4 linked regions of the Lepisosteus oculatus genome follow. The protein of the gene in region 2 purifies or fractionates together with the protein of the main gene of each other region. This does not show direct contact. Links are inferred from orthologs where the notes say so. Each region holds a gene or a part of one and is shown on either strand. Other genes may lie near its edges. The genes, in order: pde4dip, cAMP-dependent protein kinase catalytic subunit alpha, akap1b and akap11.

What was found.
Region 1: the proteins of cAMP-dependent protein kinase catalytic subunit alpha (region 2) and pde4dip purify together in Homo sapiens (affinity purification with mass spectrometry; 5 studies listed by BioGRID and IntAct, with this or other methods). This does not show direct contact. The link is inferred for Lepisosteus oculatus from reciprocal best matches to the Homo sapiens genes PRKACA and PDE4DIP.
Region 3: the proteins of cAMP-dependent protein kinase catalytic subunit alpha (region 2) and akap1b purify together in Homo sapiens (affinity purification with mass spectrometry; 8 studies listed by BioGRID and IntAct, with this or other methods). This does not show direct contact. The link is inferred for Lepisosteus oculatus from reciprocal best matches to the Homo sapiens genes PRKACA and AKAP1.
Region 4: the proteins of cAMP-dependent protein kinase catalytic subunit alpha (region 2) and akap11 purify together in Homo sapiens (affinity purification with mass spectrometry; 5 studies listed by BioGRID and IntAct, with this or other methods). This does not show direct contact. The link is inferred for Lepisosteus oculatus from reciprocal best matches to the Homo sapiens genes PRKACA and AKAP11.

The regions. Positions count from the first base shown.
Region 1 is NC_090704.1:7,911,391-7,918,907, reverse strand, and holds the start of pde4dip (myomegalin), read left to right. Parts: upstream 1-4,500; 5' UTR 4,501-5,543; coding exon 5,544-6,731; intron 6,732-7,517. UniProt on the Homo sapiens protein: Functions as an anchor sequestering components of the cAMP-dependent pathway to Golgi and/or centrosomes.
Region 2 is NC_090706.1:21,935,216-21,942,494, forward strand, and holds the start of cAMP-dependent protein kinase catalytic subunit alpha, read right to left. Parts: upstream 3,007-7,279; 5' UTR 2,972-3,006; coding exon 2,857-2,971; intron 1-2,856.
Region 3 is NC_090721.1:6,861,368-6,868,814, forward strand, and holds the start of akap1b (A kinase (PRKA) anchor protein 1b), read right to left. Parts: upstream 3,025-7,447; 5' UTR 2,863-3,024; intron 2,804-2,862; exon of another isoform or gene 2,719-2,803; intron 2,687-2,718; exon of another isoform or gene 2,618-2,686; intron 2,497-2,617; exon of another isoform or gene 2,278-2,496; intron 2,248-2,277; exon of another isoform or gene 2,117-2,247; intron 1-2,116.
Region 4 is NC_090710.1:16,668,557-16,675,403, reverse strand, and holds the start of akap11 (A-kinase anchor protein 11), read left to right. Parts: upstream 1-3,839; 5' UTR 3,840-3,904; intron 3,905-4,173; exon of another isoform or gene 4,174-4,251; intron 4,252-6,847. UniProt on the Homo sapiens protein: Binds to type II regulatory subunits of protein kinase A and anchors/targets them.

The sequences.
Region 1 (7,517 bases), on a different chromosome or scaffold from region 2:
TGAGGAAGGAAGTGAAATCATCGTGTTCATTCGACAGTTGTTTTTACAGTTACATGGAGTTGAGATTCTAGAAGTTACCAAATCTCAGGAAGTGGAACAGGTCCACAGAACCTTGTCCTAGAACCAAAAACAAGCAAAGAACCCGCAGTGTGGTACACTGCACTGCTTAACTACACAGACAGCCAGAGCTTTTCTTTAGAAATCTTAAGATCTTAGCATTGCTTTCGCTATAGCATCAGCATTTACCCAAACTTGGACATAAACTGAAGGGAAGAATGTTAATATTATATCTATTGGCTAATAGAGCTACTTACCGAAAATATCTTTTTAAATAAGAAAACTAGGAATTTGAATAATCATATCAGACCCTACTCCTAAAGATTAAATGTATTCCAATAATTGAGGCACATCATGCACCCTTTTAGTATATTTGCCTTGAAATAAACTGTAGTGTTTTCTACTAGCAGTTCTGTTAGAATATACTGTAAAGTACTTCTCTGAGACACACCCAGTTTCCTGACACCCCTCAGGCTATTACATGTAAATCTGTTTCAAGAGAAATACAGATGTCCTAATCAGGAAGCATAGTTCTCATAATTAGCCAGCTCTTTTACAGTAAATGTTTCAAATACCAAGTAAGCAACTACAACTGCAAAAGCAATAGGAGGTAGAGAGACAATGATTAAAGTATAATTTGAGCCATTTCTTGGAAAGGGAATATTTTTGACTTGTAAAACAAAAATCCATCAATTTGTTATCACAAAACGGCACTGAAATAAAAACAAGACTCTTCGAAACTATTATATTTATTTCTTGTTTGGAATGCATTCGCCGTTATCCATCAGTGTAGGTTTTTGCACTTTCTAAATCCTCTGATGTCTCAATCCAAGTCCTTAGTTTTAATGATATCTCTCCCAGCCCTTTTCCCTGTCACTGATGATGATGATTAGTGTTTGGGTTCCTTATCGTTTTCTAATGATGTGTATAAATGCATTTTAAATGCTTTTTTTGTGAATGCATTTTATTTATAACCTAAAATGGGTCCAATTATACAAAGACTCCCTGTAGACACAGATGACAAGCTAACGATATGCCCACACCCTCTCAGATATGCTTCCCAGCTGTAATTGAAAGTGTCTCTTTGCTGATTTAGACTGTCATTGCCGAAAAGTGTCTGCAAAAAAGGAGAAAATAATCTCACAAGGTCAGAGGGTGTGACATTAGACAGAGGAAATTCAACAATATTTATTGTGATGAAAACCTTGGAACTTGATTAAATAGGAATTTAGTGATACCAGTTTGACTTTATAGGTATTTTAAAAAAATACATTAATTCTTATTTGGGAACTGACGCGTAAATTTGACCTAACTGGCTTAAACTTGGAAATTGAGAAGGTAAGATACTAAAGAAGATTAGTCAGTTTAATATCACATTCAGTTAGCCATTTTGTCTCCAGGCTTCTTACAGTGTTACATTGTGTCGTTGCTGTCACTTTTGAAGGAACACGATCAAGTGCCTTAATTGCACTGTAAGGTTTAGTAACTCCCACTGATTAGAATAAATAGATTTTTAATTGCAGTTCTCGTTATTGTTGAAGGCTGTTGAAAGCTCATACGTCTCTCTTGTGGCTGTTCCAGTTTAAGAGTAAACATGCAGAGATGTTATAATTTATTCTAAACTGTGTAAGAACAGTGACGTCCCAACAAGCTGTATTAATGTAAATAATCACTTTTTCATTATGAAAAATGGAATTTATTGTAATGAGAGATTAATATTTACATCCAGGTTTAAGATTAACTGGTGAAAAAATGAAACCTGTTTTATTTATGAACAGACATACATTACGTATAGCGGGTGGTACATGTGTTTATATATGCACATCAGGGTCATTTTTCTGCAGTCAAATCCTTTGGGGGGGTAATTCTGTCCTAATTATTTCATTTTTATTGGTTTTTTAAAAATGGAAATCTCTCTTTGTCTTCATCACCTTTCATAGTCATGGCATTTTAAAGATATTTGTCATTTACTTAGTCATTATATGTCATTTTTACCAACGTTGTTGGGGGGGTAGTTATTTTAGTCTGCGTTGCACTGTAATTCAAAGTTTAGATACAGTGGAACTTCATTCCAGGTTTTCCTCTCAATAGTGATGTTGGACAAAGAGGAATGGCTAATGTGGTGGTGGTGGTGGAGGGGAGTCCCCATTACCTGTAAAGCGCTTTGAGGGGAGTGTCCAGAAAAGCACTATATAAGTGTAAGCAATTATAATTATTATTATTATTATTATTATTAATGCCGAGATTCTGGCTATTGTTATTCATTTACAGCCATCAGCCACCCCCCCGCTGAGACACAAGTGTCCAGACTGTCCCTGCTGTGGGTCCCATGCGTCTGTGTGTGTGCCAAGTCAGCCCATTGTTTAGGAGTTTGCTCACAGCTCTGCACACAACATGTGGCCTTTCACAGCCAGGCTGTCACTTCTCTCACTGTTGGGAGGGAGGAAGCCTATGGACACAGCTGACTAGGCCCGGCAAGAGGGAAAGGTTGTTTAAATCGATTCCCTCCCTGTGTTCTTGCCCTGCTGGCTATCTGTGCACTATAGGTGAATGATTTCCCCTGTCTTTCAAAAACACAAGACATAGTTGAGCTATTGGGGGAAAAGCCCTAATAGCACTACAGATGCTCTTGGATGGTGGAAACGAAAACAAAAATGGAATGGCTAACCTTTGTAACAAGAATGTAACCACTGTAGACTTTGTGACCACTGTTAAGTATTAATGCACCTCAAGGGCTCACGCAGACTGACAAAGATACTGGTCATCAAAGCTGTGTTTCCTCTTTTAAAGCAGTAGTTTACCAGAGCTGTGAAAGTATTTGTCCCCCTCCTCCCCAAGCAACAGAGCAACAACTGAAAGCACATTTGCGTGTGGTGTTGTTCCGGCAAAGTACGAATCTTTTCCAAGGAAAAACAAAAGAGTGCAAAAGTCATACCGCACAAAATTGTCGGTCACAGTGGGCAGTGCTTTGCAGGTGAGATCTGCAGGGCATAGTGCAGTTCATCTTGTCCCTCTGGCTATAATTATTCTTACTGGCAAGCTCAGAAGGCATGCCTATATTACTGCTAGGGTATGATTCTTAAAGGACAATGCAGACTTTAAAGAATTTTAGAGAAAGAAAGGTACTTTAGAGAAAGGTACTTTGGTGACGCGGTCCGCTTTAAAAGCCTACTAAAACAATAGAAATGCATCAAAGTATGACGCACATCTTTTCAAAGTCCTTCAAAGTTTTCCAGTGTTCGTATACAAGATGAAGTCATTTGAATACAATTGGTAGAGCTTTATACTCTTTCATTCTCTCAGTTAGATTTGAGTCATATTTGAAGCTGATATTTCAAGTCATCGTGTATGTGATTTGTAGGCTTGGTTTTCTCAACACCACACTCCCAGATGAACAGAGTACTCTGACTGACGTTGGAGACCTGCATTTTGTGTTCGTTTAGGGTCTGACCTGCTATTTTTAATAAATGTAAGAACGTTTTATTTTTACTAGCAAAAGGCCTTCTGCAAGAGACACATGGGTGGAGTACAGTGATTCATAGTGACGTCCAGTAATTCTCTCTTAAATAACAATAACTAGTAACTAGTTTTCCTAGTTTTTCAGTTAATTATTAATTTACTTGCGCATAAAGTATATGGGTATTTTCAGGTGGGTAGCTGCGTCAGCATGCGTAGGCTGCAAAGGAACAAGTAATAGGTTTATTCCATGCTGAAAAAAAGACGAAAGAGAACACAGCTATTCTGTGAGAAATTGCAATCGGCCTTTGCTTGAAGGAGGCTATATTGTACAAGCCCAGAGTGGAGTTCAGACAGGACTCCTGGCTTAACACCCCCCTGCTGATACACTGGATGATTTTGAAACCCACATCCACTTGTATATAAAATGTCTCGGTACACTGGCGTAATTTTAATTTTTCTTCTCAAGATTCTTAACTGAAACGACGTTTATTCAACAGTATTTACTCGGGGGTATTCTACTAAAAGAAGTCATTAACGCTTTCCACGTTTTAAGGACAAATTTCCGAAGGGCTGCATAAAGCATGTTTTGAGCGAACAGAGGGAGCCAGTTTAACGCGACCTTCACCTTTAAACCGGAGAATTCAGCGTTTCACCTCTGCCGGCGTGAACGCCAGATCACTGCTCGCACAGGGCTCCATGCAAATTACTTGCACTCGGGCTGAACCAACGTTTCGCAGGAGGGGCAGTGTTGTAGAATGGGGAGCAGATTTCATTTTATACACTTATTAACAAATCGAGTGAAAAAAAATATTTTGTGATATTATGTCTTTAGAGGGTCTCTTGAGTCTTTTTCAAACACGTTCATTCCTGTGGTTCTGGGGAATGATTGCTAGAACAGATACCCCTATTTTTCTTTTCAAATGGTGAGTCCCGCCATAGCAGCGCTAGCTGGTTACAGTCTTGCCACATCATTGCGAGCTTTTCAATGGACCTATTTCGGGCTGCAGCCTCGTTATCCGGGCGAAGTGCGTGTAAATAATGAAGCGCAAATACAACGGGACGTCCGTAATTTGTAGATAAGGCTCGGATTCCTCAAATCACTTTCACCTTCGTCCGGGGACCGTGGATCTCGGGAGTGTTACTGAAGTCGGATTACACGGCAGCGGCGGTGATGATACTGCGAGCCCTTTGATTAGGCTGAGCTTCATCGGGCAGATGCGCAGGCATCGCGTGTTCGGGAAATCCGTTCCTAAGATGTGACAAATAATGGTTTTGTTTTCCCGGAAAACGCTGTCTTAAACGCGCAATTGGATGTTCCTTTAATCCTTCACGCTATTGCATCAGGATTTCCATTACAAAATTAAAAATGGACTGGCAGCGTAACAACAGAAGGGGGTCTGTTTTGAATTTCACCTTTTAGTTATTTGTCTCTTCCAATATTAAGATTAAAAACACGAAGCGGCTTTCCTATGTAATAGTGTTATTTTAGTGCAAGCAACGCGATTTTGAGCCTTTTCTGTCTTGGTACCCAAGGTAGCTTTAAAGTATTTTGTGCGTATTTGCGTGGAGATGCTCTGCCGGGATGTTGGCCTCGATTCCAGCGGTACACTGATGATATTGAGCCTTTGCAGGAAGGGGTCTTTGATTACTGATTGCGGTTATCAGTATGAAAAGCAGCTGTTGATCTCATTTAATTCAGCCTGTTTAAAATCTCGCTTCAAGTCGTAAATGGCCATTTATCTCTGTTTTCCATCGAACAATTACAATTCGCAGCTTCACTGGGAGGAATCTTTTGCACATGAACGACTAAACACTGAATTGCTCAAATAAGTTTGATAAGCTTGAGTATTTTCAGGCTAAAAGTCCACTTAATTTATATTGTCAGGAAAATAACTTTTAAAATTGGACTGTATATTACACTGTTTAATTGCACATTGCTGGCTCTGAAACCAAACTTTCACAAATCAGATTTGTGCTGCTCAAGAGACCTACTTTGGCTGAGACCTCCCTGCCGCTAGGGGGCGCCCATGCTGGATTCCAGGATGAAGGACGCTTGCCGGATCTGCGCCCGGGAGCTCTGCGGCAACCAGCGCCGCTGGATCTTCCACACGGCCTCCAAGCTCAACCTGCAGGTGCTGCTGTCCCACGTGCTGGGCCGGGAGCTGACCCGGGACGGCAAGCGCGAGTTCGCCTGCAGCAAGTGCGCCTTCATGCTGGACCGCGTGTACCGCTTCGACACGGTGATCGCGCGGATCGAGGCGCTGTCCATCGAGCGGCTGCAGCGGCTGCTGCAGGAGAAGGAGCGGCTTAGGCAGTGCATCGGGAGCCTGTACCGCAGGACCAACGGCGACGAGGCGGGCCCGGAGGGCAAGGCCGGAGACGGCACGGTGGACATCTCCGGCTTGCCTGACCTCCGGTACAGCGCTCTGCTCCAGGAGGACTTCGCCTATTCGGGCTATGAATCCTGGGCCGAGCTCGAGGAGCAAACGGCGGACCCTCACCACCACTGCCACGCCTCCGAGATCTCCGTCCACCGCTCGAGGAGGTGCCGCGGTTGCGCGGCTCTGCGCGTCGCCGACTCGGACTACGAAGCCGTCTGCAAGGTGCCCAGGAAGCTGGCCCGGAGCATCTCCTGCGGGCCTTCCACGCGGTACTCGGCCAGCGTCGTGAGCAGCGTGTGCGGAGAGGAGCCGGCGGCCGTCGCCACCGTGCCCGAGTCGGTGGGCGAGACGAGCGGGGAAGACGCGGACGTTTCGGAGAGAATGAGTCCCGGCTCGTCGGTGGAGTCCCTGGACACGGCTGTTGAGATGGGGCAGCCCGCCGCCAAGGACGAAGAGGCAGAGAGAGAGATGAGAGAGGACCAGAAGTTTGATTCCTGGCCGGAAGAGGCCCCGCAGCAGCTAAATATGGCCGCGCAGGCCAACAGGCTGGACTTGGCTCTCAGCCTGGTGAAAAACGTTGAGTACAGGCCCATCCAGAGCCCACGGGGAAGCAAACTGCCAGTCCTGGTTAAATCTGTTCCCCCAGGACCTAACAGCAAAATGGCCTTTGCCGACTTGACACTCAGGACACCTTACGGCACTGGCTCCGAATTTCCCGCCAAATTTCAAGAGATGGTGCCTCCCAGAATTCAGCAGGACATGCACTTGGAGCTGTCCGAACTAGAGGAGCTCTGGCAGGATGTCTATGAGGAGTACATGCCCTTTAGCTTTCAGGTAGACGTCCCAGTACTGCCATTCAGTGACATCTTCACATCCTTCACTCTGCTGTCAGTGTGCTAAAAAATAGTGCAGCTGGATAAAGAATTTTCACTGTGACTTTCCTTGGAGTATTATGTCTGATCAGGCAACGTGAAGTGGGGTTTGTGATTTTTCTAAGGTTTTTTTTAGCCCATGTCAAAGCATCTTGTTGGGCGACGCATTCCAGATGGTTTATGAATTCTAATGTAGGTGAGATAGCTGTAGAAGGGGAAGGAGTGATCTTTAAACAAGAAATGATACCAGGACAATAGTAAAACCCTGACAATCATTTAGACATTAACCTCCCTTAGTATTATCTGTCGGCATTAGTATAAAATTGAATCTTATGACCACATTTATGTATAAAATTTGGTTACATAACATTATTTGAAGCGGTGCTTCTGGAGGGAGTTCTTTGATCTCTCTAAATGCAGACAGTGTCTTCCCTCTGCTTCTGCACTGCTGAAGCTCAGACATGTAGCGAATGTCAATGCAGTACTTTTATGAATATGCATCATATTTCGTGAGTATTTGAATGGCCAGCAAATCGTTGTGTGATCTGTCCTGGGTAATCTTATGTACTTTCAGAAATTTTAGACCACAGTGCTCTTGATAATCTGCTCCTTGATTGCCTTCTCTGGACATGTGCCAGCCTCTTGTGATCATTCTGGTAATTTCAGCATTGGCATGACAACAGTTACCTCAGTGACGTGATGCAGCACAATAGTTACAGCCACATCCTCTCCTTCTAGAGCCAAGGAC
Region 2 (7,279 bases):
ATGTGCTTTTCCTCTCCTATACTGTATTTGCAGGATAGGGATGAACAGTATCTGAGCTTACAAAACTGACCACAAATATCTGGTAAAAATTAATTGAATTTATAGCTTTTGAATGGAAATGCTTATTTTGGTCATTTCAGTGCAGACTGTGGTTCCGTCCCCCCCTCCCCTGACATCACACACTATCAACAGCATAATATAATAAAATAGCCAACTAAAACATCTTAAATTCATCCTCCGAGTCTCACACCCTTTGATATTCTGCTTTACCTGTTCATCTGTTATATTTTCAGTACTTTTCACTGTCGTTCAGATACATATCACAAACTTCAGTTTATTGCCCACACAGATGTAGGATATTCCTGTAAAGGTGAATTACTTATCATCGCTTGGTATTGTATCCTTTGCCCCTGGTCTCCCATCCTTCACAGGATTGGAGTGCCGCACCATGCTCTACCTGACTGGTGTCCACAGCAATACCATACCGCACGCCTCTCACACCACGCTCCTCCCACCCCTTCGCCAAAGGAGTACCGATTGTTTCCTTCCCGGTATTCACAGGATTACCACGAGTTACTAGTAAGTGGGAGTTAACTCAGGCTTTATACTAAACTTCTTCGTCAGCTGTGACCCAGAAAAAAAACCTCTATTTTAATTGATCTTTTCCCTTCTGAGAACAGCACTTTCACATTTATTTTAAAAATCTGGTCTATTTTCCCCATAAAACTGTTTGATAATTTGAAGACAGTATTTAACATGTCACACATGTGACTGTCACACATGTAAGCTTCAACAATATCCATAAAACCAATCTCAGATTTAACGTGGGCCTTTTGGATTTTATAATAAACATTTTACTAGAACATTCAGATTTACATTCACATTTGCACCCATGTATACATTTAATTTAGGTATTGTACTCTAACAATTCAGGTGAAGTACCTTACTCAAGGGTACAATGAAAGGGTCTTTCCTGGGATGTGAACCATGGCCTTGCAGTTACTAGTCCAGAACCCCAATCATTGCTCTACACTGCTCACATCTAAAGAAAACTCAGTCGAAACATTGCATTTCTCTTTTCTACTTTTTAGTATGGAATGAACCTTTGTTTGTTCCTTTGCAGCTAATGCATGCTGACACAGCTCCCTGCTTGAACCTCTTCAATGTTTAACTATTTATGCTATGTACTGAGAGTTATGAGCCTGTACTTAGATGTAGGGGTTCTGTGGTGTGGTCACACTTGCTCAACAGTTACAGGACCATCAATGAGTCATGCCATCTCTTAAATCGTGTCACTTCAGTTTTATACAAATATAACTACAAAAGGTGTACACAAAGGTGTGTACCCAGATCACATTTTAGAATTACGGAGCAAGTCCCTTTAAGAACAGGTAAAACATTCCTTTCCGACAAATACAAACCTGTCCTTGTTAGACAGGTATAAAAACAAGGTTGTTAACAAACAGTGTAATTCAGCATAAGCTATTAATAGCAGCTGGGTAAGCACTGCCTTGTCTATGTGAATTTATGCCTGCCACAAAAAATGTATGGAAATCTTTGTTCTCCATTCTATTTAAAGAAGGCGCACTCCTGCCTGCTTTGTGAAAGGCATCAGGGATGCATGCATGAAAAGTCTACCACAACTCACTCAAGAAGTATTCAGTGTGTAAAAAAAAAACATCAGTTAACTTCAATGCTTAAAACACTAACTTTACTTTTAACTAAGCAAGGCAGAAAATGTACAGGATTCAGACATTTTGGAGCATATGATCTAAAAATAAATTACAACAAATGCACCTTTTGTTCAGCTTTCTGTGCTGGTGTATTCTGCAATAAACAGTTTATGGTGCACCCCGAGTATAAAAGCGTATTCAATGTAATATTATTACTATATTCCTTATGTAATAGTTATAGTACAGACTCCGTAGTCCATATTAACCTTTAACATCCCTGAAACAGGCAACAAACAAATAAAATAGAATTTAAACAATGAAAGAGAAGCAGAATATGTAATTACATATGCTGTGCAATCACTTCTATGCTTTTCTCTGTGCTTGTCAACAAAGACACTGAAAGCCAGAAAGCTGGCTACTTTCAATTGAATATTTGCAGGCCTACTTCAGTTTCCTTTTCAAAAGAAAATTAACATGGGAGATTCATAATCTTAAAGAGTACGCCAAACAAGGTCAGTCTGCAATTTGAACAGTGTTTGAAAGGGTCAAGACGCCCCCAGTTATTTGCTTGCCATTGTACCGGAAGAAACTCTGTAAAATCAACTGTCCGCCAGCATGACAAAGTGGAAGTTGCACAATGGTCACTGCAAGGGAAACTAATGTTTATGCTCTGTAAGTTAACTGAAACTGTTCCTCTGATTCTGCAAAATTCTCATTTTAGATAATCGCACATTGCCCAGTACATAAAATTGAGCCTGTATGAAAAAGTGGGCAGTGAATACACCCTGAGAATATTGATACAAACTTCTGTTCTCAGGCCGTTACTCATTGCCCACTTTTTCATACATATTGAAAAAGTGTCAGACGTTGTGAAATCAAGAATTTCACACACTTGTGAAATTAACTCTTAGAGAGCCCACCAGAAACCCAGTACAAAACCAGCCTCATTCTCTCCATTACTGGGGTTATACTAGAGTAAAGAAAAACCCCAAGGGGAAAGTGATACTATGAAGAAAAGTGCAGTGAGATTTGCAATGAGACAAGGAAAAAAAAACAATACACTTCGTACACAGCAACATTAAAGTTTGATGTTGCAGGATTAAGTTACATTCGCCGTCCTTTCACAGCAGTTAAATTAATTTAACAATACAGTACCCCCCTCTCCTTTGCATCTTTGACTCACTTCTATAACTGTACTCCTCTTCCTCAAACCTGAAGCAGGTCTCCCCTGCTTCCTCGTCAGCCGGCCGGGGACTGCGCTGGAACAGTCTCCCTGCTAGCCTCTGGAGAGCTGACATTGCGTCCCCGTGCACAGTAGCTTCTGAACACTCAACTGTACCTCTATTGCCGTGCAGATCCCCAGGGAGCGGCTGAGCCTACTGCAAGGGTGAAGGAATGGAGCAGGACCCAACTCGGCTGGGTGCCCCCACACCTGTTAGGCTTTTGATTTTAAAACTACCAGTGTTTCCACTTCCCTTTCTCAACTGGAGGCTGTGCTGCACTTCCTCAGAAATTCTCTGGCAAAACACATCTCAAAATAGCACTGCTGTTTCACTTTAAGCATAAGGCAAGGAAATATGCTCCACAGCGTCTGATGCTGGGTATGCAGGTCAGTCAACTATATATGCACTTTTTCGGTTAAAAACACTCCCCTAGGAGACAAATTTCATTCAATTCACCTGTCCGGCTACCCGACTATTGTCTTTGATAGTTTGTGTGCAGCAACACTCTTCAGACATCTTTATGCAGCTGAGAAACCTGAATATGTAGTCCATGAACTAGCACGTGTCTTAGCACAACCTTCCTCCTGCTGAAACTGTTCCAGTGCATTTTCATTAAAAATGCCCAGTTGTGCTCACTCTTACACAGTCTGCACCTCTTCTCTCGGGGCTCTTTGGCAGTAAAAAAAAAGAGAGATTTTGAAAAGGATATATTCCATATTGTCTGCAAGCTCCCACGGAAAGCTCCAGGTAGCGTCGGCAAGGAAGCAAAACCTGTTTGAGAACGAAGCCTCGTCTCCTTTCATTCTGCAGATGACAAAGCTCTTCACTAGCCCTATCTCTGCTTTAGTTACATTCTCATTCCATACTGAAAACTCAGAATGCCTCTCCTCTTTCATCCGAAACACTCTTCTCCCTGAGCCTGCTGGGAGTCAGAATGCGGTATTACTCTTCTGCCTTCTCTTTCCTTGGCACAAACACAATAGTTTGGAAATCCTCCCTCCAAACAGGCAAATTAGCTACAAACTGTGGTGAAGGCAAAGGTTAGGGAACTGGTTTTTCCTGCCCTAAGCTGATATGAGTATTGGGCAGGTCTATGTATATGCTCACAGACAATATTCCTGATCATCAGCACACTCTTAATACCTTGCTTCGTACTAGGTAAAGGTTAATTTCATACTGAAAGGTAAAGACAAGAGATGCAACATTTCAGCCATGGAACCTCCTTTAGGTGTAATACCTTGCTTAGTGTTGTTTCTTTTAGTGCTGATTGGTCATAGTGCTCTTTGTCCTGGCCATTATTTGAATTATTCTCAATAGAACAGTCTGCTTATTGGCAGGTCATATGTGACATGCGTACCGGTCAGACAGAAGCACCTAAAGCACACTCAGTTCAGGCTGGAGACGTGTCTCCTGCTTTTGGTTCTGAAGGCAAGAAGCAATGAAAAACAGCTCTCAACACTCAGTCCATAGTACCGTGCAGAACAGCAAGGACCATTTACAATGCTCTCGCACTTTTTCGATCTCGGTTATTTTATTACAGTAATTTTCTCATGTGCCACAGCCTGGCACATCGTGGCAAATGTGGCTCCTCCTATAAGTCTCCCACTGCAGCCAAGCTGGAGGGGTGAAGACAGACAGTGGATGGTCTAAGTAAGTTCCAACTTGAATGTACTGAGGCACAGACAAATTTGTCTCTGCACCTATAAAGTGATTTAAAAATAAAACTCCTTTCCGTATACAATTATATTCTGTTAATTATATTCTGTGGTACAGATGGCAGTACTACCATTACCAATAGATATTACTGTCATATGAGGGCTCCACTGGGGGTTAGAAACAGGGTTCATGAGAACGCATACGCATTGAACTCGAGCTGTAATTCCTTCTCTTAGTGCTGAATTCCACAGCACTCCTGTCTGTGGAATGTATCCTCAGCACTCATGAAGGTCTTGCTGTATGAAAGTTAAAAGTAAAATCTGAGCACCAGAATGTGATAAAACAGAATCTTATTAAGTGCAGGATGTTAATACTAATAAGGAAATGAAGAGATTAAGGATAATATTTACAAATGTTGTGCTCACGTGGCCCTTAATGTTTGAATTTTGTATACAGACTGTTTTGCTTTCTTTTATAGCTCACTCAATCATCTGAAATCATGAAAAGCAGAGCTCCCTCCAGTGGTTAAACTAGTACAGATATCTGCTCAGAATCTGGGGCTGGGACACATCATTGGCTAGGACTAGGATTGCTCACAGCCCAGGCACACAGCAGGCCAGGCGTCCCCATGGCTGGATGAGTTCACATTCAGCCTATCACACAATAATCACTCCTGTCATTTGCCAGTGCCCTCCATCCAATTAAAAAATGTGTTACTGACGCTGTTCAGACAGTGATGAAAAATACAGGAGATAGCAGACAATAGTTGTATTTTATACTTTTTGCGACATAAATAAAAACTGCTTCTCTTCCTTGATGGTACCATGTTCTAGTATTACTTAACAAGCAGAAATTATCCCTGTATTGGTTCACGGCCGTAGGGGTTCTTTCACAGCCACCTTTCCAAACTTGCTGTGTTGCAGAGATATTACACATCTGTACATAAACATCTGAAAAGAATGCAAAGCTGTGCACCACTGCTTAATTAAAAACAATCTGCAAATGAAATGGAAAAGGGTTATTCTGACTTCATTAAAAGAAAATTAATTGATGAGTCCACTTCTAAAATTGGATCTTTATTAAAACATACCTTTTTTAAGAGATTAAATATTGACATGGACATACCGAACGTCTAGAACTGAAATCAAAGGGTGTGTTGAACCTAAAAATTCTGCAACTCAAATGAAAAGGTTTCTTCTTACATTTGTGGGATGTAGGAAATTGGGAAAGGTGCACAAATGTATGCATGATTTCTTAACTGTTTGCTTTTTAATCTCCAACAAAAAGAGAAGGTTTCATAAGTGATTCTTTGTAGGGTTTGGGTCTCTAATCAGTGCCACTATATATGCCGAGACAGAATAAAAACCTCAGCACACCATACACCTGTTACCGAAGGGATCGACATTCAGCTGTTATGCATATAGATTTTGACCTCCCTATTCCTTAAACTCTACAAGACCGATTTTATCTAATGGTTCAGAAAAGACTGTTAAGTGCATTTGTAGTCCATCGTCTCCATATTTGAATTTTTTACATTAAATGAGAAAAAGATTTTGATTTTCCACAATGTGCTGACTCTGGAGTTCCTAAGTAAAAAACTGAAAACTCCCATTCATAACCTTCCAAACCTGGGGCTTGGTGTCCGTGATTAATGTTTCAGTAAAGACAAAACCAAGAAGACCCACACAGGAGAGATGCATAATATTTTCAATAGATCTAAAAATGCACCTGAAGCCATGACTACAGTCAGCCGCCTATTCAAAATGTAGCTTACATCAGCAGCCGAACACTGCAATGTTTTTCTTCAGGTGATTTCCAAGATAAGCTATCCAAGAACAACTCTTCTCAGATAGCTCTTGTTCTATTTCTTGGAATCTGGGCAGCTCAATCATAATATGGATTATAGATGGTCCAGAATTTTGGTAACAGCAAGATGTAACAACTTTTTTTCAAACTGAGAGCTCCTGAGTACGGTTATTGTAGTGAAATGATGCAATGTTTCAGCCTGCCCTTGCACTCAAGAAGTTCAGAGTTTGAGTGAAATTTCACAGGATTTAGAAAATTGTTTGGGGGATTTATTTTAAATGCAAGGCCTACTGTAGGTGCACCTGATCATAAAGTTATTAAATTTGACTGATAATTCCATCTTTCTATATGAAATCCTAAATGCTTAACTGCTTTTCGTAATCTTAGAACAAAGGACCATGCTAGTTTCACTGATGCGATAGTGTCAGCAATCATTGGTCTGTACCTGTATATCTGCTTGCTGTTGTGAGTGAAAGCAGAGCTCTGGATTGTCATCCCATGAATTTACCAGTCCCTTTTCATTAGCAGCGACAATTCAGCTCTGAATTATTCATTGCCAAGCTTTCCATCACCAACAATTTGTCACACAATTACATTCCATTTAATTAAATTGACAACAATGTAATGGAAGAAATCGCTCACTGTAGTCAACAATAATTAGGTCACAGTGCAAATCCATTCTAATCTCTGTGCTAACAAAAAACTTAGTTAAGATTTATTTAACAGAACAACAATCACATATAATCAAGAACGGCAATTACAGTCAAAATTACAGCCCATATTTTAAAATGTACAGCAAAATGAGATGTTGCAGACACACAGTACAGCTAGTACAGGAGATTTCAGCTAAGGAAAATGTATTTGTGTTGCAATGTGATTGGTACCCGGTCATTGTCGGTAGCTGCCAACTCTTCTGCCAAT
Region 3 (7,447 bases), on a different chromosome or scaffold from region 2:
CTTGTGCTTCTCGTTCCAATTCCGCATTCGGGTTACCAGAACCAAGACCGGAAACAAAATTATACTAAAAAGCTAAAATCGCAGAGCAGACTGAATCCTCCTTTTTTAAAAACAGAAGTAAACCGCAAGGTAACCCTACGTTTCTGACTGACTTGAAAGAGGCTGCCAACATCATCCCCGTTTCTGCAGGGGTGGACTGTGAATCCTAACCAAGTCCAGGCTTCCACAGTGAGAAGTCATTCAGGAAAACAAGAGGTAACCGTCAAGTCTACCCTGGCAGTTAAGAGATCAGAAATACACAAAGCGCTCCTTCCCCATCTTCTCCATTCTAGCATGTTGTAACATCAGTCAATTGCATAATTATTTAATTGCATGCTGCACGGGCCAATTAAATAATTAAAGACCAGGTTGTTGGAAAGTCCTGCAGTGTGAGGTGCTGGAAGAACGGCAGGTCTAAATGCCCTTGGCTCAGATCAATCCGGGTCCCCTTTACAGTATTTCACTCCGCTCCAGTTGGGATCACACCGCCTTCCTGCCTGCCTTGTGCGCATTGCCAAAAAGACCTTTAGCTTGATCAACCTCTGCGGGACAGGAGACTGAGCAGGTAAGCAGCACCAAGCAGTACGTGGCGGCAAGAACCGCAAACAAGCCAATAACGTCACCCACTCCCCTCTCCACAGCCATGACAATGATGAAACATGCAGTGCTCAATCCCATAGCAGGAAACCTTCCACAATGCATTCAGCTCAATGTGGCACACAACATTTCCTCCACCTTCCAGCCACCTTGTCTGATGGCAGAAGAGTAGCGGACTGACTGTGGTTTGATTCATGGCTATCCGGGGAAGTAGAGGGCCCTTCATTCCTCATGCTGAAATCATCCACCACACACAAGTGGATGCTTAACATCACCAGGGCCAGCTCGAGGAGCAGCCATCCCATTCACAACGAGGAACTCGGTTAAGGCATTCTGAGCTTCACCTACAGACACATTTATTTTTGCAGTTGTATAAAAAAAATGCTTTGAACATGAAAAACCAGGCTTCACCATTAACTAAGTGAACACACCTCATCTAAACCTGAGGAAAAAGCAACCGCAAACCGCACCACAGAAAATGAGTGATGAAGCACCACTAAAACTCCAACAGGAGGAGTTCACTAACAAGTATGTCAGTTGAAAACTTCACAGCTGCTCGCGAATTGGAGAAGAAAACATGCACTCATCCCGCCACAACAACGATACGATTCCACAACGACTACGGGCGCCTAACCTCCCGAAGAGCTGCCGTGCACTCGCCCCAGGGGGATTCTGTCTCGCCCGCCGTGGGGAGGCGGCTTGTAGCCGCAGGCAGGCAGGTAGCCCACGACTACACACACCCAAGCGCACACGGCGACATTTTTAAAGCGACATTCCGGTGACGGCGGAGGAAGAAGAGGGAGAGCGACGCGCACGCCGTCTGCTTCCGTGACCTACACCTGTTTCCCCACGCGTGGAGAGGATCTCCCCGGCTGCTCTGACCGGCACGCGAGGCCTAACCTCCCGTCCTTAATGAAGCGTTACCGCCTCCCCTCCAAAGCTCACCTTGAACCAGGAGATAAAATAACTGCGGCCGCGCCGCGACCTTGGCAAGCGGGCGCAAGGGACACCGGGCTGGCCGTGTGTGTGCCCGGCGTGTCGACAAACCGAGCAAGTGGGCGATTTTAAGTGTATCGCAAGGTCTAATCGGAAACCCCCCCCCACCCAACACACACACACAACACGCCGGCGTCCTTCCGAAAAGCCCCGTTTCTGCAGCAGAAACTTAACAGACAACCTCACACACAAGCATCGTCAGGCACGTTGCAGAAAGCAGGGACTGCAAGCTGCTACAAGACGAGCGAAGGTGCACCGCCATCCCCGCTACATTTCGCCAGTGGGGAAACCGAATTTTAAAAAAAAAAGAGAGAGAAAGGCAACAATCTCATTCCACCCCAGTCATGCGGCACCGCAGACGACAAAAACCAAGGAAACAATGCAAAACGAGCGATGCCGCTGTAGTATATGTATGCGGTATATTGCGAAGGCGAGGTAGGCCGCAGCGCTCCTGGTCACTGGGCGAATGAGGAGAATGAGTCACCTCCAGACCCGCCGAAACGGAATCGCTCTCCTCCGTCAAATTCACCGGGAACTCGGCTACCGGCGGCCTTCAGCACGGCGTCGGGCGCTAGCGGGTTTTAACGAGCCCATGAGGATCACCGCTCCGGCCCTTCAAACCTCCCCGCTTCGCCGTCTTTGTACCTCTCCGGTCCGGCGGCGCGCACCACACCACCCCGCTCCTCGACTCGGGTCGCAGGCGGTGCCGCGCCGCTATACGGGGGGCCAGGGAGGTGGTGATGGTGGGAGGGAGAAGCGAAAGATTCAAAACGGCTACACTTTCGAAATCACACACGCCGCCTCCGCGGGCGGGCGACCCCCTCAATCCAGCCGGTGCGATACTCCGGTGCTCCGGGCCAGAACAAGGCAGCCTCCTTCGGTGTCTTTGTGCCCAACCGAGAGGAGGGGGGGTGTGTGTGGAGAAAGGACAAAAAATAATGAATAATCCCGTTTTCTGTTCTTCCAAACTACAGCAAAGACCTACTGGGAATGCACGGAGGTGAGTGGTGGTGGTGGTGGTGGGGGGTTAAAAAAACCCAGTTCGGAGACTCGAGTCGGGAAGGCTCGCCTGAAAAGTTAACTTACGGCTCCGGTGCTCCCTGAGGTTTGATAGGTCGCTGCTACGTCAGGAAATCTAACGCTACTATTAACACGCCTGCTGAGCCGACAGCCCCGTTCGCCTCGCCGCCGCCGCACATGGTGTGGGATACGAAGCGCACGTATACTTACTGTTTTTCTTTTTTGTAAAGCGCCACCGTGAATTGTATGCGACTATCTAAACAGATTCGTGCCCTTCTCTTAATCCCCCAGCGTGCTCCCCTCTCTGTCTGTCTCTCCTCCCCACGTGCTGGCAGTCCGGACACTGGACTCTAAAAACAGACACAACAGCTGATCACATCTCGCGACAGGCCCGGGCAGCCAGGCGGGTCTCGCGGAGGTTCCGAGCCAGGCGTCGAATCCCGAGAGGCGGGGTTTAGAGCAGGAAGGAAACTGGCGCCCCTCCGGCCTCCATGTTGGCTCAGGCGCCCGGCGCTTCGCCGGCGGGACGGCGCCGGGCGGCCAGGAGCCGCCATGGCGTGGGTTTCCGCGGCGGGCGACCTCTGCCCCTATCGCGAGGCTGGGAGGAGGGGACGCGTCACGGGCCGACGAGAAAAGCTCGTAGTGTTCACGGATGGTGGCCTGAGAGAATCTGACGGCACGGGCAGCTCATATTGCCTGGCTTTTGGTGTGAAAATAAGAATCGCTGCTGTTACTTGATTTAACGTGGGGCTGGGCTCATTCATTGTTATAAACCTCCTGGGAGCTAGAATATTGTAACGAATTCGGGTTTCGGTACGGAACGGAGCAGGCATGGGACTCGGGGAATAGGACTGAACACATTTATTAACTTGAACTTGAACCGGAAAAGGTACACACACAAGGACAGAGGTTACAGCGCTGCACCTTCTCTAACACACACACGAAAGGAAGGGGCTGTCTCGCAGCCTCCGCCCTACTATATACCGTCCTGTAGTCCCGCCCCCAGGCGCTGTTCTCAGCCCGCCTGGCGGGGCAGTACAATATACAGTCTATACACTATCATACTAAGAAACAAAAGCAGCCACCCCCTTTTAAAAACGGTGTCTTCTACTGAGACGGTGGAAAAAACAAGATGGGGGCTGCACGTTGGTGGTGGTGGAGGGGATCCCCATTACCTGTAAAGCGCTTTGAGTGGAGTGTTCAGAAAAGCGCGATATAAGTGTAAGCAATTAATTAATTAATTAATTAATTAAAAGCGTTTCCATCTCGTCTTGTCCAGATCGCATCCGAGCTGGGACTGGTCAGTACGGGAAAATGTATCTCAAAAAAGAACCTGCTGTAGTGATGTAGTGATAGACCAGTAGGTGGCAGCCAATGGGCGACACTGCACCATAGGAGGCGCTGTCCTTCAGATGAGTTAAACAGATCCTGCTGTATTAAAAATCTCAGGGCAAGAGGCAGGTTGTTAACTCCAGTGTCTGGGGCAAACTACACTCTGGATTTGTATAATCTAGGGCTCCCTATTTTTTAAAAAATGAGTTATGCATGTACAATACAAGTGATATGCAATGTTTTGTAATGTATTCAGATGTACAGAACTAGTATGCATCCATACAAAAAATTCCCCATGGGGGACAAAGTTAATCTTATTTCCTGGGATGAGGAAGAATCTACAAGATGAAAGGCTAAACAATCTGTTAACTCTCATGTTATTAGTTATTGTATTTTTTAAGTTTATTTTGATTTGCCTGTGAAGCAAGAAAAGTCCCCCTAAAGTCTATGGACCTCCTTTTCATGTTCGGAGCAGAAATCCCAAAACGTGAGATTATGTAAAGTCAGTAACGATCATTTAATTTTTGCGGGCATGCTTTCATCATGCAAGAGCGTGATGCTGACTGCGTCTGATGAACTGTGCAGTGTGCGTCAGGATGCCTTCGCAAGAGAAAGGGTTTTGCATTGTGAATGGTGCTAATCTCTGGTTTGACTAAGCAATTAAGCGTACTTCCCTCAAGTGCCTCTGCAGTTAGTAAAAGCACAAGAAGAGATCGATCAAGGAGCTCAAGTCCACAGGACAGGAAAGCTGACAGTAGCAGCCACTATCTGCCTTAACTTTCTTTACTTAACGTTTTTTCCTCATGGTCCCTGAGCTTAAAATATAAAACTCACAGGTAGATATAAGAGGTGCTAATGACAAAAATATTTGTAATCTAAAATAGTTTCTTGGATCCATAAACTTCTAACAGCAGGATGTCTTCTTCTTAAACATGATTCCCTTTCCACCAAAACAGGCACTGCACAATTCCAGTCTTTGTGCCTGCATGGTACTACAGTTAAAGGCATCAGCTACACCCAACTAGTCAGCTAGTTTAACCATTAACTAGCCATTTGCACAAAAGGCCTCACAGACTGGGTTTTCCACCTGTCCTGAGGTGTCTTGTATTTAGGCTCTAGCTTCAGTGGGTAATGCACTTGTAAGAAGTTCAGAGCAAGAGAAAGCAAGTTACCTGGCAGGGAAAAAGCATTCAGAGCACAAGCCGGACACAAAAATAAAGCTGGGACAAAAATAATCCCATCAGCTCATCCATACAGAAAAATCTGCCTGGACTGCTTTAAAAAAAAAGTTCACTTAATTATAATTTAAAACGTGCGTTTTTTCTTCTTCAGCTATCTCGGAGGACTTGTCGGCTCTCTGCCTGGGTCACCCGAACAGAAGGACACCAGCACAACAGATGTTAACAGGTTGAATTTACATTTTTACTTCCAAAAAAAGTCATACATACAGGGATGGAAATGGAAAGGGAGAGAGGTGGGACGAGCAAAAACTTTGAACAATGATTTCTACAATGGTAGCTACGAGTAACATATCCAAATCTGACAGCAGTTTCTGTAGCGTCTGATGAGTTCCTCTGGCATGTCTTTGCCACACAGAAGTAAAAGGAATGAGGCTATTCATTAAGGTAACATTGCTCATGGCGAAGTCCAAAGGGAACAGTAAAGTTTACCTTACACAGTGCGAGTTTATAATACACAGCAATTTGTAGTCATCTCTATTTTTTTCTCAGTATGTTTATTTTAATGGCATAATGCAATGAAAGTGGAGAGTATCATTACTAACACTAGAATAATTAAATTTGTATGTTATACATGTACAGCAACTAACTGCTTTACAAAAAAGCAAAATAATACAATATATCGTCACATGTATTTACAGTGTAGTAAATATACCTTTGTCAAATTTTACACAAAATATTTACAGAGGTGAAACGTACTGCATTAAAAAAAATAGTGTGGCTAACGCTCAACAGTGACTCCTTGTGGCGAAAATGTGTTTTGCATAACCTCGTGGAAGAGGTGCCTAATTTTAGGTCATTACTCCTTGCAAACGACATGTCTGACTGCAGTTAGGAATAGTGCAATTCTACACACTACAAAACAGCCTTCACACAAACCAGGTCATCTGCTCTATGTGCACTCTCAGCTTTTAAAATCTTTTTGAAAATCATTAGGTGCCCTCAGAAAATGGTGGTTGTATTTTTTAAAAGGTCTCGGTTCCGGATGAGCTTTGTTTCGCTGTCCAGTCAGAGGCAGGACCTTTATCTCTGCAATGCAAACCAACAGCCGCCACTCAGTCTGCCATATTCTGGAGTTCCCAGCTAACAAACGTCACGTCTGTGCTTGCTAACCTTTTCAGTATCCAGTTCCCAGTCCATCGCTATTCCCCCTACAGTTGCGTACCATTGTCACACAGGTGCAGAGCATTCTTTTGAGGAGGAATTCGCAAAATATTTCTCATTAAAGGGTGAGAAAATGGGAATTCCAAAATGAGTGAAAATATTTTTAAGTTTGTTCCTATTCAATAAACAATTTTTACTAATTCGGTATCATCTATTGAAAACTGAAATAACCCCGCATTGGAGACTAAAGGCTTATAAGCGAGTTGATCCAACTAGTCGTTTTTCCCTTCCCATACAGTTGTGCAGACAGAGCTTCTCCCACCTTCTGCTAAGGTGCGAGATTTCTTTCTGCGCAACGTCTGCATCGCGCTGCGCCAGGTGACACTTGTGACAAGAGAGAGCAAGTTGCCTGGGGAGGGAAAACTGCATTCTGCACCCTGGCACGAAACACAAATAAAGCAGAGATGCACCCAGAATCCTCCCCTCAGCTGAATCAGTTTCGTCTCAGGCCTCTCCTGTACAGCATCTCGGTTACTGGCGGTCCAAAACCTAGAGAGACTTGGGGCGACGCTCTCGGAAACACCCGGTCGAAGTGGCATCGGCAGACAAACGGCAAATAAGGGGTGGGTTCTCAGGAGAAGGCGGCTCCCACAACCAAATTACAGAACCAAAGATGGTCCTTTTCTTCTCAGCCGTATGACACAGGAACGAACGGATTTCTAGCTTGGGAACACCTTGGAAAGGCCTACAAGGAGCAAACAAACTTTTAAAGTACCTTGGCTACATTTGTTAAATCACCTTTACACTGTCCAGACCTATTTTAATATACATACTCCCTCCACTAGCGACTGCATTAATTATTTTGGTCGGTATTTTGTTAACTATAATATCAAGATAATCAAAAAGCATTCACTATCTGTAAATATATATAATACGAAACTCAGGCTGCCTCCGTCCCTCACTCTCAAATGAACTTTCTCTCTTAAAGTCAGTGATATAGGAGCTTATTCTGTCACTATATTGCAGTTCCTGTACTTTGGTTCCTTTAACAATACAACATTAAGGTCTGTAACACCTTGTCAGATTGGGTTTGGTACCTTTATGTTACTTTCAAAGCTATT
Region 4 (6,847 bases), on a different chromosome or scaffold from region 2:
ACGTTTTAGAGTTTCTGAAAGACATTTGTTTTAATTTATATTACAGGTGGTAAAAATAACATTAAATTCCACCTACTGTCTGAACATTTGGTCTTAATTTAATTAAAATAAAAGGATATTAGAGCCAGAGGCTATAATAATGAAATATATAAATTCCCCAAAAGTGATTTATGCAAATTTATATAATACTTAAGTATTAATGTAATTTCAATCTTATTTTTCAGCTAGTTCCATCCTTCTATAGGAAACATTAAGTATTTTTAAAACACATAATTTCAATTAATCCCAGTGCCTTTTCCCAAACAGAAATTGAGCTTGGTTTAAAATCAGTATATGGACACATGTGTATAGAAAGGAAGATATAATAGTAAGATTGTAAAATCCTATCGTAAAAATAGTAAAATCCTCGAAATTTGGAATTGTAAGCATTATAAGGCTGCAGAAAAACAGAAGAGTATTTCTTATTTAGTACAGTTATACACTGACAATGTGAGCTGTAAACCCATCATAGCAAATTAATGTGCCTTAATATATTGCAGTATTAAAAAGGGCAATAAAATATTTCAAAAGAAGGGATCAGGTGGTTATGAGAGTAAAACACTCAGTGTTTTTGAATAGTTACTATAGGCTCCTGCAGAATGTTTATGAGCTGAAGAAAGCAGATCACAAGATCGAGTTGTGTAATCTGTAAGAATATCCCTCATAAGAGGCTTGAGAACCTATCCACTGATTGCAAGGTATGAATAAATGTGAGCATCATGAACTTAGAAATATATGCTATTTTGACAGATATCCCATTTCATAATCATAATAATAATTCCTTCCACTTCTGTAACACTCTTCTGGACACACCACTAAAAGCGCTTTACAGGTAATGGGGACTCCCCTCCACCACCACCAGTGTGCAGCCCCACCTGGATGATGCGATGGCAGGCAGTGCACCAGTACGCTCCCCACACACCAGCTATCAGTGGGGAGAAACCGGAGAAAACCCATGCAAACTCCATACAGATAACATCCCGCATCCAGAACTGAACCAAGGGGCCCTGCGCAGCAAGGCATCAATGTTAACCACAGCACCATCGTGTCGTCCAACATACAACTAAAATAATAACAAATTATTGGCAGAGAGCAGAAACTTTGTTCACCCTGAAACTTCTTATCTCATGCTTTTGGATTTGTACAGTAAATAAAATATGCTGACTGAATCATTTTCCAAAAGATATGTACTGTAATGAAGACGGAAATATTCACCAAAATACAGTACATTAAACTACACTGAAAATTGAATGCACAATATCCTGTAGTTCAAAGTCACAGTGTTATACAAAAGGGAAAGCAACATATTACAATATAACACAGCAATCGCCTTCAAGGTGTGGTATTTACAACAACTGTGTCATCCATTTCCCAGTGTGCCCAGTGAACCCATGTGATGAAAATCTCAGGCAGCCAGGAAGGGTTGCAGGTTGCGTGTTAGGACTGTTCTTCTCAGCTGTAGTCTGTGCTCGTGCAGTTTTTCATCTCACAAAGGGAGGCTCCAATACGTGTGATCTCCCCTCTCGTGTTCCCGCTGGGGCAAAAGGCTATGGGTTCAAGTCGCCAATTCATACATCACTGCGGTGTCCCTCACAGAGACATTTACTCGGATTACTCTATAGTCACGCCAAGTGAGAGCAAATACTGCACATGGGTTAACAATGAAACAAGTTGTGTTCATTGTGTTACGATTTCTCATTCCAGCTCCTCTTACCACAAAACTAAATGAAAAATCTTACTACAGTCCCGTCTCCTGTAGCACTGCTGATTCAACGAAGACCAAATTCAACGAAGACCAAATGAATATTCATACACAATTCTTATCTATCTCTTAGGCCGTGCAAGATGTTGGAGCAAAATTTGACAGCCTTAAGAGTTTCAGGGGTATACCAGTTATACCCATAATTCACTGTGGCTTTTAACGCCCACACTAACCTCTGCTGGTGTCCCAATCTAGAGAGATAGGGTAGGTTAAGCCACATTGTATATACAGTATAAATGATTGATAGAGAAAGGTAGTTCTATGTCATATTGAAGGCTTAAATGATTAAAAAATAATTTCAGACAAAGGCCTTCTGCAGCTGGTTAAACAGCAGCGAAAGGACTTTTGTCAGACACCAATGTTTCCTTAATCATTCCAACCTTGTGTAGATCGGAAGAACTTTCTTTTCTTTATCAGCCTCTGATAATATACAGTCCCATAAAGAAAATTTAACGTTGAGCTAGAAGTTTACAACACATGTAATTCAGCCAAGCTTTTATGCGTGACTTAGTGCCTTTGTTCTCTCTCATTACCCCTCAGCAGGACTGGAATTATAGACTGCACTTTCAAAGGACCACTTTATTAATCCATTATCCTCTGAGACTACTGGACTGACAGCACAGCCATTCAGTCTGGAGCGAAACACTGCTGTGACATAGTTGTAAATTTAATATAAATCCTATGTTGTAACTGTCTGTCAGGATGGCACAGAGGAATTTAATATGACAGATTGGTGGCTTCTGCTGATACCCAAATTCATAGCTAGGCCGTTTTCAAAGTGTTTTGCTCTAGAGCTAAACTTATCCTCCATATTCTAAAACTAATCTTAAAGATATCTGAGGTGCAAATTTGATTATTTAGATGTTCAAAAAAATATCTATATAATAAGTGAAATATGCACTTGTTTTACATCAACACATTTATTTCAATTATTATTGTCTCCTTGTGCGTGCGATGAACAGGATGTAGTCCCGCCTTGTACCTCTTCTGCTACCAGGGTAGACTCCACATTGCCACAACTTAAGAGAACGCCAGGAAGGGTCTTTCCAATATTGGCTTGATGCAGGTAAGAACATACAGTCAGAAAAATTACAAATGAGAGGAAGGCATTTGGCCTTTAGTACTTATAGGATCCCATTATATCATCCAGGTGTGTCTTGAAGGAAGCTATGGTATCAGTTTCAACAACATGACTTGTTCCACACTCCCACAATCCTTTGTGTACAGAAGCACCTCTTCTTTACCTTCTGTGTCCCCACAGAACACATCCTCTGCTTGCATCCAACGTCCAGTGGGAATCCAGAAGCTTTGTATCGGGTGCCATCATACAGTAGTCTTCTCTGTTCAAGACTACACATACTAATTTCTAGTCTCGCCATTCCAGACTGTAATCAAATTATTTGCATATGAATTAATGATATATTATATACTGAGGCATAAAAATGCATATAATTCTTATTGAAACTTAGAAATTCCAGAATTTTAATGACTCTCATGGTATGTAGTTATTTGTTACACTTATGCTTTTGATATATTCAGTATTCTTTGATGTGATACAGTAAATTCCGTAACATTTAAAAAAACATAATTTACACCTGCATTTCCTTTATTAAACTTTTAGTTACAGTTTATCCTGATATGAATACATTTTAATGCTACTGTGCATCAATCACTTCACATGGTGGTCACCAAAAATGTTATTTTTTTAATGCTATAGTAACATTCAGAAATATTTATTAATATATAACAACAGAGGTTGTGTTAGGGTTAGAGTAATGATGAATAGTTAATATGCATTTGAAAAATGACCATTAAATTATTATGAATGTTAATAAGTCGCATGTAGCCTTAGGGATATTTTATTCCTATAAAATCTTACCTTTTTTTTACTTTAAAGGGATCAAACTACCACCTTTGAAATGCAATTCAAATTAAATGTACATTTGAAGTAATCATTAAAAGTAGTAAAACATTTACACGAAGTAATCATTTTCATAAAAATCTTTGGGGTACGTCATCGGTTTGACAACAGCTACCTTGTCCGGCACAAAACTTAAACAGACTCTACGTCCGTATCCAGGCTCACAGAAGCTACAATATACTGTACGTATACACTATGTTAACAACGCAATAATTTATTTTTTCCATGTGGTTGTAATTTGAACATCAACCAAACGTCTGCTTTAGCTTTTTAAAATCTTAAAATTGTGCCCGGCAAATTGTAAAAAATAAGCCGGAATGTTGTAGTTCCGAGGTGTTAATTTTACACTGGTGGAAAATTATATAAATTTGCAACCTTTTCGCATTCCCATCATCGTTTCGGTGTTCCTTAGTAACCCTGGCAGCTTTCTCCCACGAATATATCATCATTCGGACTGGATTGCTTCGGCCTGGTTTCTCTTGTTTTTGTGAAATGAACTGACAGCAGCCGCGGGTCCGACGGCGAAACGGTGAGAATCATTTTTGAGATGAAAGTGATTACACATGACACACCTTTTCTTGACAGGATCGCACATCTGTTGTGGTAAACGAACATGTGTTCTGGTCATGCATGGGTAAATGACGGATGATACAAACGGGTCTGGTTAATGTTGTTTTTTTTCAGGCCGCGGCCCTGAAAACAATTCTTGGAAAATAAAAGCTTTAATGGCAGTCTTTCCGTTCCCCTGCGCGGGGTTGGAAGGGAAAGGGGGTAGTGGGTTTGTATTGAGTCGCTATTCTGTGTCTGGACGCTGATGGTTAAAAACTCGACATGTTGCATTCGCTATAGTGTCCTCAAAGACTGGAAATCCAAATAGCATCGATACAGTACAGCAGCAGGGAAGATGCGACACTAATTCATCCACAGTAGGAATGCGAGTGGGTTGATCGCTTTTCCCAGGGAGTGTAAACCATCTTCCCCCCAGACTGGAACTTTTGCCATAATTAGGGAGCACCAGTACCCTATGTGCCTGGTTTGTTTTTAGATTGCGTTTATGCCGTCGCTAGTATGTTATCGGGTGTTTCGGCAGTTTTCCGTCTTCGGTTTGTGACGCCCAGCGGTTTTACAGCATGCCGAAGTGCGGCATTAGCGCTGGCTGCTCAGATTAATTCCCCTTCACAAAGCGTTTCCCCTGCAACGGTCAATACACTATTCACATGAGGTGAAGGTGATAAGAAATCTACTTTTTTTGTGCTGTGTAATTAAGTGTAGTTATTAGGCTCCATACATTTTTTTTTATTTTCATATAAACTGTGAGCACTGGGATATTAGAATTCATGCTGTAAATAGGATGTGCATTCGAAAAGGTGTCATTAATCAAGGAGTGTGGAGGGTCTTGTGCTATAGAGTAGCGTGGAGCATCGACCCAAGTGTCTCTTTTGAGTGTTAAAAGTCAAATACATCTCCTCAAATGACACCATTTTCATTGCTTATTCTGATTGGACTGTGACTGGATGTCCGAGGTTGTTTGAATTGGCATACAGTACGAAACTTAGTGCGATTAGGAAATACAACCCGAGGACTGTTGTCTGTCCTCTTTCACATATTACTTTCTAAGTCAGATGGACACTTCCAGCCTGATCATGTCCAGTTGCTGCTGTGCAGAAAGATGTGCATGTCTCATGTTGTTGGAGAGTTTACTGTTATTGCCGTTTCTAAAGTTGCAGTATGTTTGCTACAAATTCTAAATCCTAAGTACAGTATTTCTTAGTACAGATCCTGGTTTCCGTTCAGTATCCACCCCCGTACTCGCGCCCACACTGACATAAAAACTGTACACGCACGCTTGAAAGCCTGACCTATATTAGTGTTCCTATGTTTGTAAATGTTTGCTCATACAGATGGTTGAACAGACATTCTCTTGAGCTTTTTGAAATAGACACATGTGAGCTCTACCATGCAATGTTAGTCTCACGCATACAGTTAGTGACCCCTGTTCTCTGCTTTCGGAGAGAACTTTGCTACTCGCAAACACACATACACAAACTAACAGGGTTAACAGAACATAGGAACGGCCATCTTATACAGTTTTTTGTCTCATCAAAACTTAATTAAAGCCTAAATAACTGTCGGCTTAGAAGAATACATTTGCGTAGTATTTTAAGCGCCAGTGAGGGTCACAGAGGTGTTGGCTACTTTCTTCATTTCCAGGAGCGGCTGGCTAAGGTTTCAGCTGATTTAGGCCAATTCTCATAAATACAGGGCATCAAATAAACAGTCGCTTACTTCTGTTGACTCATCGTTTGAAAGAGAATCGTTTTGGTTACGTGCCATGGCTTTGGAAGAGATGCGCACGAAGCTTTCTGGCGGGGGTTTTTTTCTCACATCTGCAGCTTCCTTTGTTTGCAATGGGAAAGAATTCCAGGCAGCGCTGTGGTGCTGGTTGGATGTCTACTGTGTCACAGGACGGTTTCTTCACTCTGGGAATGACGTCCAATCTGTTTGAGGCTGCACATTTTTCCTTGCGCGCTCACGGGCGATGGATGTGAACGCTGACCAAAGATAGATTCAGCGACTGGACTATTCACACAATGATTAATAGCACCTAGTTTTACAATGGGACAGTTCTGGTGTGTTGTTTAAATCAGTTCTCTTGCTAACCACTATGAAAAGGTGAATCATGCTAAGCATTGCCATACAAAGCATTCAGTACGTCATTCAGTGTGCTGTTACTCTTTTGCTGTCATTCGTAATCAAAAACAGGGAAAATACTGGGGTAGGTCCTTTCTGTATTGGGAACCAAAAACCACTGTTTGGTAAGGTTTGCTTTTTTACTCAAAGACTGCTGGCTGGGGTTTGTTCCTGGAAAAAGATTTGGCTCATCTCTCCTACTGTAGAATCGTAGACACAAAAAGATTTAACTCTTTGATTGTAATGTCCCCTCACAGTACTCAGTATTGTCTGGGAAGCTATTATTATTATGAATGTTTTGTCATTTAAATTCATGTCACTAACAAAACATATGGCATCCTGGTGGGTCTGGCTGATACTGTTTTTCATTTAAAATCTTCTAATGGCAGTTTTCCTTTATATAATGTTTCTGAAATTTGTAATACTCCTACTGT